Elephas maximus indicus: one gene and its partner. The protein of the gene in region 2 purifies or fractionates together with the protein of the main gene of each other region. This does not show direct contact. Links are inferred from orthologs where the notes say so. Each region holds a gene or a part of one and is shown on either strand. Other genes may lie near its edges.

Region 1 (7,987 bases), on a different chromosome or scaffold from region 2:
TAAAATGCAAACCATTAATAAATTTAGATCTGTTATCTGACTCTTTCCAATACTGATGGGAGAGGGAGTGTCAGGAGATGAAGTGATCGCAAAGAAGGGTAGACAACATCTGCCACTGAGGAAAGAAATGGGACTCAACCAATTTTTGAACACTTCACTCAGGCTCTCATGGATAGACTGAAACATAGTGCAGGCCCAGGTTAACAAAATTTCAAATGACAAATGGTATTTGAGTAGGTCAGCCCAGGCCTTTGGACAAGCTAAAGTTTTATTTCTGAACATAAGGGTGGAGGAAGGTGGGATTACGTAACGACTACCTTTACTTTTTCAGCTCAATGTATGGTCAACTGTGTACACTGGATGTTTCATACTCTTCAGCTTTGTGCCCCAATCACTATAGACAGCTTAGGAAACACTATCTTCCATTAACTCTGCAATAATTGAACGCCGCATTTTATGTGAATGAATGTCTGGGGCCCCAACTATGGCATTACAGCAGGGTACTCCTGTAAGTTTAGAGTTCTAATGAACATAACAGCATCGAACTACCATGTTTTACAAATGTTGACCCACTGCAACCTGGTGCCTCTCTTTTTACTTTCTTGTTGTGAGTGAAGAGAAACCGTGGAAGGAGCTGAAAAATATAAAAAGTTGCCCAGAGTGGACAGAGAAACTCTTCCCCTAGAGCTAGTACCCCGAATTCAGACTTCTAGCCTTCTAACCTGTGAGAAAATTTCTGTCCATCAAAGCGAAAAAAAAAAAAAAAAAAAAAAACCAGCAACAACAACAAAGAAAAACAAAAACCCAGTTGCTGTGGAGTTAATTACGACTCAAGGTGGCTCCATGTGTGTCAGAGTAGAACGGTGCTCCATGGGTTTCTGATGGCTGATTTTCAGGAGGCCTTTCTTTGGAGGTACATCTGGGTGGACTCGAACCTCCAACTAGAGTGCAGTGCAGGGACTCCATGTAGAGGAGCCATGTTCTCTAATCCATACCTCCTTTCCTCCAATTTGTTTAAAAAAATATTTCTCATCTTCACTTTTTCATGTTCTTAACACTCTCTATAATCATCCTCTTACACAAAGTTCTTTCAGTAAAGATTTTGATAAGGCAACCAATACAAACCATCAGTTCTCACCTGCACATCAGTAGGTGATGTACATGAGTTCGAACAGGCTCGACAGCAATGGGTGATGGGTGAGCAGTTCCATCAGGGATAAAACACACGGCTTCTAGTCACGTGGGATTCTATGGCCACATTAATAATGAACCTAAGCACAGCTTACACACTTGGCTAGAAGCGAAGTCTCATATTCCCCATTTTGTTCAAAAAGCAAGTTGACTTCCAGGTAAAGATAGATGATGAGGTCATATATATAAATTCCTATGTACACGTATCATTTACAAAATTAATTAGCTGTGATACATTGAGAAAAATGAAACAAAATAGACTGGATATGGTGTTAAGGACAAAATTCTAGTTTTCAGAAAAACAGCAAAGTAGATACTGGGTAAGTAAAAATTAGCTATGCAAGCGCTCTAGTAGTACAAGTAATTCTCTGAAAAGGAAAGCAAAGCCAGTGCAAGAAAAGGCAGAGGCGTTATCAGAAGGGATGATAACCAGGGAACGTATCACAAAGTAGAACATGCATTAAAGGAGACACATATATGGCAGGAAGGCTGACACTACCTAGTGAGGATTCAGTGGGGTTGTTTGTGTAACGGAGATGGAGGTTGATGCGGGTATCCCCTGGAAAATTAGGAGGGAGCGTGTAAGCAGATATATTTAACATCCATCCAACACTCATTTATAGCTGGATGCATGTAAAGCGGAGACAAAGAAAGGAGTCTGCAGCTGGGAGGACATTCAATAAACAGAAAAAATTAGAGAAAAGCTACCTTTTATTGGTCATCTTTACTATGCCTTTATCTCATCATCTTACTCGAATACAACTAATCCTGGGATAACTGTATTTTACAGAAAAAGAGACAGGCTCAAAGATGTTTAAGTAGCTTTTCTAAGCTCAGCACAGAGATACGAACAAGCGGCAAGGCAGACCGTAGATGATACGTCTAACTCCAAGAGTCTGAATCGTCTTCCACGCCTGAGTAGGCTTCACACCCACGTGTTCCGTGGCACACAAACTGGCCACTTCCCACAAAACCCGACACGGCCGTCATCCGATCCAAGAAAAAAGCGACGCATTTCTGATGAAGGGGCTATCTGTTCATTTGCCGGATACTTACAAAGCGTCCACCTAAGTGCCAAAGCAAGGAACAGAACGGTGACCAGACACAGGCTCTCTGCTAGGAAGTTACGGTGTAGTGCGCTCCCGCACCGCTTCCCGCTCCGGAGCAGGGTGCTCCGCCGCATTGGGCGCGCAGATCCGGCGCGGGAAGGGGACGTGGAAGCCAGATCTGGGGAGGGAGGGTCGCAGCGCGCAGCGCAGCACGGAATGAGCGCTCAGGGCGCCGGGGAGCGCGGGGACAGCGCAGGCGGGTCGAGGAAGGGGCGGGACGCGGTCTGGGGGTCGGTGCGCGCGGGGTCCCGCTCCAGAGGAGGCGTTGGAGGTCGGGCTCGGGAGGGGCGGGGCGCGCGCCAGGTTGACGCGGGGGTCCCAACGCCGCACGCGCGACGAACTACGCAGGAGCCAAGAGAAAACTCTCAAAGGATAAGGCCATCGGCCCGCCCTGCGGCTCCGGCCAGTCCTCCTGGAAGATCTTCGAAGATGTCGTCTGGGGCAGAAGGTCGACCTCAAGTCTTCCCTAGCCTCACCCTCGCCTGTGGGCCTTCGCTGTGGAAGCGGAGGCGAGGTAGAGGAAGGAAAACGGGAACTCACCGTCCATGGTCTCCCTCACCGCGTTCAGATTGGCTGCCGCCGCCGCCGCCCCAGCGCCGCTACTACTCGCCATGGCTCAGGCCGGTCCGGCCGACGGAGGCGGGGAAGGGCCTGACCCGGAACTGGAGCGCCTTCCTTTCCCCCGGGCAATCCCACCGCGCGTCCTCCGCTCACGCCAGGGAGGCTCCGCCCCTCGCGCTCGTCGCCAGCGTGCGGCTGCGTTCATTTGAATTTGGAGCCTCGTTACTCTACGCGGAATGTGAAGCGTGGAGTTTCCATTCGAATTTACTACGCGGCCTCGATGCGATTGGCTGGTTCGCGGACAGCGATGGGACGCGATTGGCCAGTCGTCCACGAGCCCCGTGCCCTGGTTGGCCTAAGACAGCGCGGAAGCGGGGAGTTAAAGAGTCTGTGCCTGTCGTGGGCTCTGGGTCTGGCCCCTCGGGAGCACCCTGGAGTCGCTATTGAGGGCTTTCTGCCCTGGGAAGCGTGGTTTCCTTTTTACACACACCAGTAGGTACGTTCTTTATAGTTCCTGGCCTTTCCTCCTGTTTGTAATAGGATAGCTCACTTTTCCCGGCTCCAGACCTGCCAGCCTGCTCGCCCCGGGGTCAGTGGGAGCAGCCAGGGGGTAGGTGCGGAAGAGAGGGGCGCCGGGAAAGGCTGATCGCCTAGGGGCTGGGGGTGACACCGGCATTGATGTCCTCCTCTGCCCTTGATCCAAGGAAGCCAGCTGCACTTCAGCCTTCCAAGAAGTAGATTCTTCTTTTTCTTTACTTGTATACCCCTCTACCTGGAAATAATGCAGTCTTTCCTTCTATCCTGTGTATCTTGACGAGAGGAGGATGTTTAAAGAAGGATAACTTCAAAGACCGTTAATCTCTTAATCCTAATCATTTTTTTTTTTAATCAGTCATACTTTTCTGGCGAGGTCTAATGTTCAAGAAGGGATCCGTGCACAAGCGTCCTTATCTTTTAAATTCTTGCTATTAAGAATTGTTTAATAATAACTGCAATTTAGTGGGATTTGCTGGGGTGTCGGAAGGATGTTGAAACTCTTTAGAGACTTTAGATGAGGAATAAAAAACTGTAAGTCCACTAGTCGAAAAGAATCTTGTGCCCGTTGGTAACATTTAGTTGCCTCGAAGGTGTATCTGAGCTCTAATTTGGACGATGGCCACTTAACTTGTGTGAGCTTGTTAATTCTTCCGCAAAGTGAGATTTTATCTCACTAGCTTCCAGGGTTGTTTAGTGGATCGCTTGAGAAAATATAAGTGATGCTTTTTTGTGAACTGTACAAAATACCCAAGAGCATTAGGTTTTGAGTTCGTTCTTTTTATGAAACATGTGTTTCTTGAATACATTTTAGTTGTCAGAATTAACATCTACGGCGCTCTGTGGTTTTAGTACACATATTTCTGGTTTCGTTTTAGTTTTCTCTTTGTGCTATGGAAGATGTCAAAGAATCAAAGATGCAAATAACACCAGAAACTCCAGGAAGGATCACTGTTTTAAATCCTTTTGAAAGTCCTAGTGATTATTCTAATCTCCATGAGCAAACTGTCTCCAGTCCCTCTGTTTTTAAATCAACAAAATTACCGGTAAGTTATTTTTGACTTGTGTTTACAAATAACTTTAAATTTAAATATCCTTTCTTTACAAAGTAAGGGAGAAATATATCATGGAGTACGTATAGCTGGAATATGCTTTTTTCATTGCAGCATTCATTGTAATCTAGTGGTTGGGCTAAAAATAAGTTAGAAGATTTTTTTAGTTAGCATTTTTTTTTTTAATTCAGCAGAAAACATAGGATAGCTCCATGCCAGTGCAGGTGTAGTTAGATACTATGGGTAATGATGTATCTACTAATACCAGATTAGAGAAGAAGCTGTGTCATCTAATAGCTACTCTGTTCTCATTTATTTGGCAAACATTATTTGAAGGCTGCTATGGTGTCAGATGGAAACCCTGGTGGCAACTGGTTAAGAGCTGCAGTTGCTAACCAAAAGATCAGCAGTTCCAACCCACCAGGCGTTCTTTGGAAACTCTGTGGGGCAGTTCTGCTCTGTCTATAGGGTCGCTATGAGTCGGAATTGACTTGGCGGCAACGGGTTTGGTTTTCAGTTTATGTGTCAGATAGAGCTAGGCATAGGGGTTACACTGTGAGATAGTCAAGATCATTATACGGAAACTCTCAAGAAGCTTATACTGTAATGCAGGGGCCAGCAACTTTCTGTCAAGGATCAGACAGGAAATATTTTAGGCTTTGCACATTATCTGGTCACTTTGGCAACTACTCATCTCTGTCATGTAATGCAAAAACAGCTATAACCAAAAAACCAAACCCATTGCTGTCACGTTGATTCTGACTCACAGCAACCCTATAGGACAGAGTAGAGCTGCCCCAAAGGGTAACCCTTTAGTTAACAGCCAAACACTTAACCACTGTGCCACCAGGGCTCCAAAAACAGCCATAGACAATACAAATAAACGTGACTGAGTTCCAATAAAGCTTTACTTAATGGACATTGTAATTACAATGTTATGTAATATTCACGTGTCACGTCATTGTAATTTTCTTCTGGAGTTTTTTCAGTCCTTTGAGAATTTCAAAACTATTCTTAGCTTGTAGGCTCTACAAAAAGAATTCAACCCCTGCTCTAATAGACACAACTAAACTAGCAATTTTAAGATAGTGTGATACGTATTATGATTGACGGTTAAGTCCAAGGGTAATAGGGAAGAGAAAGTGCTCTTTAGGAGATTAGCAGAGGCTTTTTTTTTTTTCATCAGTTTAGCTTATTTTTATTGTTATTTGCTGCACTGGAGAAGTTCTTTTGAAGCCTGATCTTTTAACCTTAGTAAGTTGCTTAGTAAAACTACAAACTGGGTAACTGTTTACGCTCCCTTTTCTGTCATCCTGGACAATAAACAGATGTGTAGAAGAAGAAGGTGCGGCAGTATTACAGTTTATATTGAGTCTTTTCATTAATCTGACCCAGTGATATTTAATTGACCTTTTTTTTTTTTTTTTTTTTTGGCTCATTAGGTTTTACTTTTCTCTTAGTCTTAAATAATAAGATGTCTGCAACATTTTCCTCAAATCCAGAAACCATAGCATCTTGGGGCTTTAGGTCTGAATTGTAAAAAATATATTTCTAAATACGGATTGCAGTTTGGATAAGCTTTTGATTCAGCTGGGTAGTTGAATAAGAAATGGCAGCACTTGTTACCATTCATAATTATTTTCAGAATCAACCAGTTTATGAGCTTTTACAGCCACTTCTATGGTTAGAACTTTGCTTAATTTCTGTTTATTCTTGGTGATAGTAAAGACCCTTGATAACTCTAAGAAGTTTTTACTTTTACGTGGGTATGTTGCATCATTGATGAGTATTGTTGAATTTTTTCCCTTTTTGTGTCGTGATTTTTCTGTTTTTATATATAGGGATGCTATGAGTTGGAATCTACTCAACGTCAGTGGGTTTCGTTTGGTTTTGTATATAATTTTAAAAATTAACCAGATAGATTTTGATATTTCAAAAGAGTTATAGTCAAGTAAGTTGATTTAGTGTGATGATTACCATTTGCCTTTGAATTTAGTGGTAAAGTCAAATTTTAAGATAAGAACTTTAAAATATTTTGTATTATAGCTTTTCACATTGTTTTTGAAGGTGACATTGGTTAGCATTTTGATGAACTAGTTTAGTTTGCCTCTACTGATAAGCTTACTTTCTTTTGTTAAGACTCCAGGGAAATTTAGATGGTCTATTGATCAACTAGCTGTAATAAATCCTGTAGAAATAGACCCAGAGGACATTCATCGTCAAGCTTTATACTTAAGTCATTCTCGGTAAGTTTTTCTTCCCTGCACCAAAGTGTAATAACATTCTGTCAAGTGAAGAGAGATAGGAAATTCCAAAGGTTGAATATTTTTGTATCTAAAGATAACAGGGTGGAAAAATTTCAATTTGTTCCATTTAAATAAGGAGTTAGTCCAAAGAACTCTATCTGCAAAGATTCCCTTGATGAGAGTTCCACATCTGGGTGGGAGTCCTTTTCTTTTAGAGATAGCCTTCTTCTTGGGCTGCTTATGAAGTAACTCTGCCTCTTCAGCACTTGATAGAGGGCAAGGCGTTTTGAAATTCATACCTTTGTACATGATTACGGTTTCTGTCATTGACTTTTTAAAATTTTATTTTCCTTTTTAAGAGTGTTCTCTCTCTTTTTTTTTTTTTTTGCCATGTGTGCATAAAGCAAAATACTGTTTTGTTGCCATCTATAATTGGAGAAGCTGAAAGTCCCCTTACCAAGTTAAGACACATTGAATGGATGAGTGTTCACTAGCAATAAAGAAAACTTTTCTAGAAAATCATCCAACTTTAACATAGTACACCTACCAAAAAAAAAAAAATCCATTGTCATGGAGTTGATTCCAACTCATAGAAACCTTGTAGGATAGAGTAGAGCTACCCCATAGGGTTTCTAAGGCTGTAATCTTTCTCCCACAGAGCAGCTGGTGATTTGAACTGCTAACCTTTTGGTTAGCAGCTGAGCATTTAACCACTGACCACCAGAGCTCCTTATACTACACTTACCCATTGCTGCTGAGTCAATTCTAACTTATAATGACCCTATAGGACACAGTAGAACTGCCCTGTAGGATTTCCAGGGAGTGGCTGGTAGATTTGAACTGCCAGCTTTCTGGTTAGCAGCCAAGCTCTTAACCACTGGGCCTCCAGGGCTCCTTGGAATTACATTGCCTTCAATTCTTCGTAGTAACCAGAAAAAAAACCAAACCAAACCCACTACTATCAAGTTTATTCCGACTCATAGCAACCCTTTAGGAAAGAGTAGAACTGCCCCATAGGGTTTCCAAGGAGTGCCTGGTGGAGTTGAACTGCCGACCTTTTGGTTAGCATCTATAACTCATAGTAACCAGAGTAGCCTGAATTTATTTGTTGATGTATTGTGTAGGCTTCAAAGCACTAGTGTGCCTCAGACTTGTGCGGCTTAATGATGCCTAATATATTGAGAACATGTACTTCCTTGGGGGCACAGACCTAGTTTTTGATTCCACATGTCAGGTAGCAGTGTTTGTTTGATGGGACTCTTCTTGTTTATATCAGTTGAAGAGTCTTGATTTT
Region 2 (7,879 bases):
TAAGTTGGCCAAGACCAGGCATTTGTCAAGCTAAAATCATCTGGGGCCCAGGAGAGCCCTGCAAACGTGCTCCCCCACCCCCTAGACGTCACCACAACAGCCTTAAGCTTAAACCACTACTCCCTGTCCCAGCACGAACACTGGACTCCAGCCCACAAGGCTCTCACCTGGCTCTAAAACCCTGAGCCTTTCAGCTGCAGCTCCATTTACAGCTCTGGTGCCAGGAACATCTCCCCTTCTTGCTCTCAAGGTTGGCTGTGTATGCTAATGCTTCTGGGCAAATTCTACACACTCCCTGTGCCCTTGAGCTGGATGGGGTCCCACTTTAGTTCACTATGCCCTGCTGTGTCCAAGGGTCTTGCCATGAAATACAAAATCAGTGTCCCACCAGGTGGAGAGCAGCGGACTGCATGGGGACCTCTGTTCTCCCACTGATGGCAGACCAGGCAGCCGTTACCACCAAGAGAGCCGACAACAGGTTTAAGACAAATGCATGTGTCAATCACCACAGATTCAAAACACAAATGGGACAGGCTTCACTAAAACACTGCAGCGCCAGTGCACGGGTCTTAGTCTAGGCCCATGAACATGAAAAGCACCCTCAGAAATGAGACGCGAAATCATCTGTGAATTTTCTAAGATGAAGGTCTTTCATCAGCTTCTCAAAAAGTTCTGTGACCCAAACAAGGTACAACTTACTAATACATATTAATTTGGAACTTCACATTGAGAAAGCTAGACTCTAATCTTGTCTAATGGAAAACAGATGCTCAGCATACAAATATCATACTTTCACGGCACATAAACATCAAATACTGGTCGGAGGCAGAACGTCTCCAACAATGAAAGTGGAACACAAACACGAACTGGTGGTACGTCCCCGAAGCATGCATGTTTTCATCAAGAAGCACTCATGGTTAGAAGGCAAGAAACACAGGATGTGGCCATGGAGTCCCAGGCAGGCTCAGCACTGACCCAGCCACTTCCCAGTTTTGGGACCCTGGGCAGGTAGCCTGTCCTTTCTAAGGCTCTGACACTCAGGTGCCTCATCAGAAAAGAGGGAAATGATAGTACCTATGCCACAGAGCTGCTGTGGGTTAAATAAGATAATTCTCATAAAGCACTGAGGTGCCCGCACATAAAAAGTTCTGCAGTTGTTATTATTGGAAAAGCAGAAATAACTCGTTGCTGTTACTACAAAGGGCAAATACTCTGGAAACATTAACTCCGTTATCTGGAAAATGGTGGATTTCACACATAGACAATCAGACCAGCATTACTGACAATGCCTCAACCATCAGTTCTTCCTTAACCACAAGGAGCCTTGAAGAAGGAACCTCGAACCACATGCAGAACAGGAAAACTGCAACTCTTTGGCTGATGGCTTCTCGATGACTGTGGGTTGTCCTCTGCTTTTGGATTGAAGGCCATGTTGGTAATACAAAAAGGCAAGGACATTTGTTTGCTGCTGAAACGAAACACCCTCCACCAAGCAAACACAGGTAGCGAGCTACTTCTGAGTGAACGTTGTTTTGAAACATCATCTTCAAGAAACTTTACATTTGTGGTAAAAATATAACACAGACATCCCCACATCACAAACATTAACACTGTAAGGAGCCTGCTGTTCTATCTGGATTTGGGGAACAATTCCTACAAGATGGCAGCCCTCGACTACAGGCAGTACCATCCCCTGGGGATCTGTGGAAATGTGTAGGGGCAACAGGCTGTCACAGTGTCTGGAAGGTGCTCCTTGACTTAGTGGGCAAGATGTAGGAGTGCTGTCCCACCAAAAATGCCAGTAGCGTCCCCACCAAAAAACAAAAACATTTAAGAACAGAACCCTGGTGGCACAGTGGTTAAGAGCTCAGCTGCTAACCAAAAGGTTGGCAGTTGAAATCCAGCACCTGCTCTCTGGAAACCCTAGGAGGCAGTTCTACACTGTTCTATAGGGTCGCTGAGACAGAACATACTCGATGGCACCTAACAACAATTTAAGAACATTTAAAAGCTTACTTAATCTTTCTGGTGCTCTAGAATTCTCTTCTCTGTTCGTTGCCACAAAAGGAGGAACACAAACTCGCGTGACTGAGCAGCACTTCTCTCCTGAGAGCTACCGGAGGGATGAGCGGGAGGAGGCGATGGAGTGGTACGTCATGTTTTGCCGTGACAGAATGAGGCACACGCTAGTAGTGAAAAACATTTGATTACAACACAGAAGAAGCTGAGAAAATCTTTGTTTAGAGCTCAAAGGTAATTGCACTAACTGGCTTGAAAAACGTTACCTTACAACTTGGAAAAATGCCAAGAACCCTAACGTTTTTCCAGAAACAGGAAAGTAAAGAAATAGTCCTCGGTATGAGACAAGAAAATGAAAAATAGACTCTTGATCCATAACAGAAGCTCTTAGGCCTAAAGATGACCAGGTGGGGCTGTAGCCACAAACCTTTAGTTGCAGGGTAAAGCTGACAAAAAGCTTTTCATCATGGGTCGCTTACTTCTATTTTCATTACACGTGGCTCTCTTATAGAAACAGCAAGCACCCCCTTTTCCTTGCTAGAGCACTTATAAGCCCTGCTCCACGAGGAAATCTTCTGGCGGGTGGAGTTTGTCCCTGTGAGCCCCCGGCCCATCCCCCACAGACGGTCCCATAGCGCCCCCTGCTTCTCTCGGGCGCTCCCGATCTAACTGGGTAGCTGTCTCCGCCGTTAAACATCTGCCGCCCTTCTCCGCTGCAGGCTCCGGGGCAGCAGGGACCCGGTCTGACGCTGGCACCCGTGGCCGCTGAGCACCTGGCACAGCGTCCGGCACACCGGTGGCGGGGCAAGCGCAGAGCCGCGCGGACGGGGGCCTGGGGTCCCCGCGCCCCCGCCCGCCCAGCGCCCGCACTCACCGCCGACTCAGCGCCGCCCCGCCCCGAGCCGCCGCAGCCCGCAGCGACGGCGGAAGTGATGCGCGCGACGTCACGTCCGGCTCCGGACGGTGGCCGGCAGGCAGGGGGAGAGGCGGTGCCCGGCCATGCAGCTGCCGCCCGCCTTGCGCGCCCGCCTGGCCGAGGGCCCCGGAGCCGCCGAGCCGCTGCCCGTGGTGCGAGACCCCGCGGCGGGGGCCGCGCCCTTTCGTTTCGTGGCGCGCCGGGTCCGCTTCCCGCGAGAGCACGAGTTCTTCGAGGTGCGCAGCGTGTGCGCGTCTGTGTGTGTGTGTCCGTGTGTCCCTGTGCGTCTCTGAGTCTGCGCGCGTCCGGGCAGTTGCCAGCTGGGGGCCGAGGTCTCAGGGGGCGGAGCGCCACGCGGGGCGGGGCCGGAAGGCTTCTGACCCCGCCCCACGGCACCTGTCTATTCCAGGATGGGGACGTGCAACGGCACCTCTATCTACGGGACGTGCTCATGCAGGTGGCCGAGGCCCCCGCAAGGCCCAGGTGAGCAGCTCCAGCGCCCACAGCGCCGCCTTCTGCTGTCGACGCTGGCGCTTCGCCCCACACTTACCCCACACCCACGCTCTGCCCTCACCTCGTAACCTTTTCACCTCTGCCCCAAGCCCCCTTCCTGTGCCCTTGCTTTGCAGGCCTGCCTACATCAGCATCAGGTCTGGGTGCTCCAGGAGTTCTCCGCCCGGGCTCTGCCACCAAAAAAACTGGAAACACCTGTTGCTGTTCAGTCGATTCCAACTCACAGTGACCCTATAGAACAGAGTAGAACTGCCCTATAGGGTTTCCAAGCCTGTAAAATTTTATGGAAGCAGACTGCCACATCTTTCTCCCTGGAGGAGCAGCCGGTGGGTTCTAACCACCGACCTTTCGGTTAGCGGCTGAGCACTTAACCACTGCGCCACCAGGGCTCTGCCACACTTACCTTTAACCCTCCTGGGAAGTGCCTTGTGCCCTGAACCACTGTGCCAAGGTTTGCGTAGCTGTCTCCCCCACTTCCTACCTTGTTTATGAACATCTAATGCGGGAAAAGTGGGGTTTTGAATTGCAGAAGGCTTCATGAGACTGCTTAGGGAGAACTGTTGGCAGGAGATTCAAACAGGGCTTTCTGTCACTGACTGATGGAGGGGCGCCTCTGTGAGACCTGCCCTCCCCACCTAGGGTGCCAGAGTTCACCTGCCAGGTGGCAGGCTGCTGCCAGGTGTTTGATACCCTGGAGGGCTACGAGCACCACTACCACGTGCTGCACAGGAACGTCTGCTCCTTCTGCAAGCGGGCATTCCCCTCCGGCCACCTGCTGGACAGCCACATCGTGGAGTGGCATGATGCTCTCTTCCAGATCCTGGCTGAGAGGCAGGACATGGTGAGCAGTGGGCCACGCCACGGGGCTGGAGCCAGTGTGGTCTGGTGCCAGGGTCACCGTGTTGTCATTGGGTACAGTAGCCAAGGGTCACGGTGTCCCTCCCATCCTAGGGGTGTGGGGGCAAGGCCAGGGGTCCCTTCCTGCCCGACACGTCTGATCATATGCTTCCCCAGAAATGAAAGCATGGCGGGGGGGGGGTCTAGGGTTATGATGGTAGAGTGGCACGTTCTGTTTCAGTACCAGTGCTTGGTGGAAGGGTGTGAGGAGAAATTCAAGACCAGCCGAGACCGAAAGGACCACATGGTAAAGCGTCACCTGTACCCTGCAGATTTCCGGTTTGATAAGCCCAAGAAGAGCAGAGGGTATGTGCAATGCCAGGTGTGTGCTGCCATGCCCACACCACCGTGTGTATCCACTCCCTGTCTCCAAAAGAAGCTTGTTGCCTAACTCCCACACTAGGATGTAGGTGCCATGGCTAAGAGCCTGTCATTGTTCACTGTTAGATTCAGCCACAAGTAACAGAAACCCGAAAACCAAGGGTTATTAGCTAGAGGACGTTAGACAAGTAGGGGTTTATTTTTTGTGTGACTGTTCACTGAACGGAGGGCAGGAAGGGAGCCTCTGGCTGCCCAGGCTCTGTGTTGGGACTGACTCTGGTCCAGTCCTCCGAGTCTGCCCTGGGCCCCTTAGTCCTTTAGGAGCACCCCACTTTTCTCCTGGCTCATACGTCTCTGGCCCACACCTGCCTTCTGTGGAGCACACTGGGCCACTGGCATGCCGTGCGGAGACAGCCTCCAGAGGGAGCCATGGCCACTGCGGTCCTTGTGGTTGTGTCCCAGGCCGTGAACCCCTCATGTTGGGCCCTCCGGTTTCTCATTTGTCCTGTGGTGTGTGTTCACGAACACGACAGCATAAGTACTTAGCAGCCATGTTATTTTCTAGAATGTGCCACACACAATTTGTTCACAATAACATCCAATACTTCAAACTGTGGGGAAACACCTCTGGAAATAATGGTTAAATTTGTGCAGTGTTTCCTTGCCTTTTTTTTTTTTAATTTTTATTGTTTTAAGTGAAAGTTTACAAAGCAAGTCAGTCTCTCATACAAAAACTTATATACACCTTGGTATGTACTCTTAGTTGCTCTCCCTGTGATGATGTAGCACACTCCTCTGCTCCACCCTGTATTTTTATGTCCATTCAGCCAGCTTCTGTCACCCTCTGTCTTCTCATCTCCCCTCCAGACAGGAGGTGCCCACATAGTCTCATGTGCCTACTTGGTCCAAGAAGCTTACTCCTCACCAGTATCATTTTCTATCTTATAGTCCAGTCCAATCCCTGTCTGAAGAGATGGCTTTGGGAGTGGTTCCCATCATGGGCTAACAGAAGGTCTGGGGACAATGACCTCCAAGGTCCTTCTAGTCTCAGACCATTAAGTCTGGTCTTTTTACGATAATTTGAGGTCTGCATCCCACTGCTCTCCTGCTCCCTCAGGGGTTCTCTGTTACGGCAGTCATCGGTTGTAGCCGGGCACCATCTAGGTCTTCTGGTCTCAGACTGATGTAGTCTCTGCTTTCTGTGTTCATTTCTGTCTCTTGGGCTCGTAGTTACCTTGTGCCTTTGGTGTTCTTCGTTCTCCTTTGCCACAGGTGGGTTGAGACCAACTGATGCATCTCAGATGGCTGCTTGTTTGCATTTAAAACTCCAGATTCCACTCACCAAAGCGGGATGCAGAATGTTTTCTTAATAGATTTTATTGTGCCTGTCGACCTAGGTGTCCCCTTCCCTCTCTCTTTTTTTTTTTTTACCTGTGTTTCTTTTTTTCTTTTTTTATTAACTTTTATTGAGCTTCCAGTGAACATTTACAAATCAAGTTAGTCTGTCACATATAAGTTTATATACATCTTATTCCGTACTCCCACTTGCTCTCCCCCTAATGAGTCAGCCCTTCCAGTCTCTCCTTTCGTGACAATTTTGCCAGCTTCCAACTCTATCCTCCCATCCCCCCTCCAGACAGGAGATGCCAACACAGTCTCAAGTGTCCACCTGATATAATTAGCTCACTCTTCATCAGCATCTCTCTCCTACCCACTGTCCAGTCCCTTTCATATCTGATGAGTTGTCTTCGGGGATGGTTCCTGTCTTGTGCCAACAGAAGGTTTGGGGACCATGACCGCCAGGATTCCTCTAGTCTCAGTCAGACCATTAAGTGTGGTCTTTCTATGAGAATTTGGGGTCTACATGCCACTGATCTCCTGCTCCTTCAGGGGTCCTCTGTTGTGCTCCCTGTCAGGGCAGTCATTGATTGTGGCCGGGCACCACCTAGTTCTTCTGGTTTCAGGATGATGTAGGTCTCTGGTTCATGGGGCCCTTTCTGTCTCTTGGGCTCTTAGTTGTCATGTGACCTTGGTGTTCTTCATTCTCCTTTGCTCCATGTGGGTTGAGACCAACTGATGCATCTTAGATGGCCGCTTGTTAGCATTTAAAACCCCAGACGCCACATTTCAAAGTGGGATGCAGAATGTTTTTGTAATAGAATTATTTTGCCAATTAACTTAGAAGTCCCCTTAAGCCATAGTCCCCAAACCCCCGCCCTTGCTCCGCTGACCTTTGAAGCATTCATTTTATCCCGGAAACTTCTTTGCTTTTGGTCCAGTCCAATTCAGCTGACCTTCCATGTGTTGAGTGTTGTCCTTCCCTTCACCTAAAGCAGTTCTTATCTACTAATTAATCAGTAAAACACCCTCTCCCTCCCTCCCTCCCTCCCTCCCCCCTTGTAACCACAAAAGTATGTGTTCTTCTTAGTTTATACTATTTCTCAAGATCTCATAATAGTGGTCTTATACAACATATGTCCTTTTGCCTCTGACTGATTTCATTCAGCATAATGCCTTCCAGGTTTCTCCATGTTATGAAATGTTTCACAGATTCATCACTGTTCTTTCTCGATGCATAGTATTCCGTTGTGTGAATATACCACAATTTATTTACCTGTTCACCCGTTGATGGACACCTTGGTTGCTTCCAGCTTTTTGCTATTGTGAACAGAGCTGCAATAAACATGGGTGTGCATATTTCTGTTTGTGTGAAGGCTCTTGTTTCTCTAGGGTATATTCCGAGGAGTGGGATTTCTGGGTTGTATGGTAGTTCTATTTCTAACTGTTTAAGATAACGCCAGATAGATTTCCAAAGTGGTTGTACCATTTTACATTCCCACCAACAGTGTGTAAGAGTTCCAGTCTCTCCGCAGCCTCTCCAAGATTTATTATTTTGTGTTTTTTGGATTAATGCCAGCCTTGTTGGAGTGAGATGGAATCTCATCATAGTTTTAATTTGCATTTTTCTAATGGCTAATGATCGAGAGCATTTTCTCATGTATCTGTTAGCTGCCTGAATATCTTCTTTAGTGAAGTGTGTGTTCATATCCTTTGCCCACTTCTTGATTGGGTTGTTTGTCTTTTTGTGGTTGAGTTTTGACAGAATCATATAGATTTTAGAGATCAGGCGCTGGTCGGAGATGTCATAGCTGAAAATTCTTTCCCAGTCTGTAGGTGGTCTTTTTACTCTTTTGGTGAAGTCTTTAGATGAGC

The links. Proteins that work in one complex are often made in the same cells at the same time.
Region 1: the proteins of TUBGCP2 (region 2) and MZT1 purify together in Homo sapiens (affinity purification with mass spectrometry; 4 studies listed by BioGRID and IntAct, counting the BioPlex papers as one, with this or other methods). This does not show direct contact. The link is inferred for Elephas maximus indicus from reciprocal best matches to the Homo sapiens genes TUBGCP2 and MZT1.

The regions. Positions count from the first base shown.
Region 1 is NC_064832.1:65,153,974-65,161,960, forward strand, and holds the start of MZT1 (mitotic-spindle organizing protein 1), read right to left. Parts: upstream 3,003-7,987; 5' UTR 2,914-3,002; coding exon 2,841-2,913; intron 1-2,840. Other genes in the region: BORA (protein aurora borealis), read left to right, coding at 4,289-4,441, 6,587-6,693. UniProt on the Homo sapiens protein: Required for the recruitment and the assembly of the gamma-tubulin ring complex (gTuRC) at the centrosome.
Region 2 is NC_064834.1:82,913,044-82,920,922, forward strand, and holds the start of TUBGCP2 (gamma-tubulin complex component 2), read right to left. Parts: upstream 3,019-7,879; 5' UTR 2,894-3,018; intron 2,888-2,893; exon of another isoform or gene 2,447-2,887; intron 2,426-2,446; exon of another isoform or gene 2,286-2,425; intron 2,187-2,285; 5' UTR 2,017-2,186; intron 1-2,016. Other genes in the region: ZNF511 (zinc finger protein 511), read left to right, coding at 3,019-3,171, 3,345-3,418, 4,088-4,289, 4,527-4,651. UniProt on the Homo sapiens protein: Component of the gamma-tubulin ring complex (gTuRC) which mediates microtubule nucleation.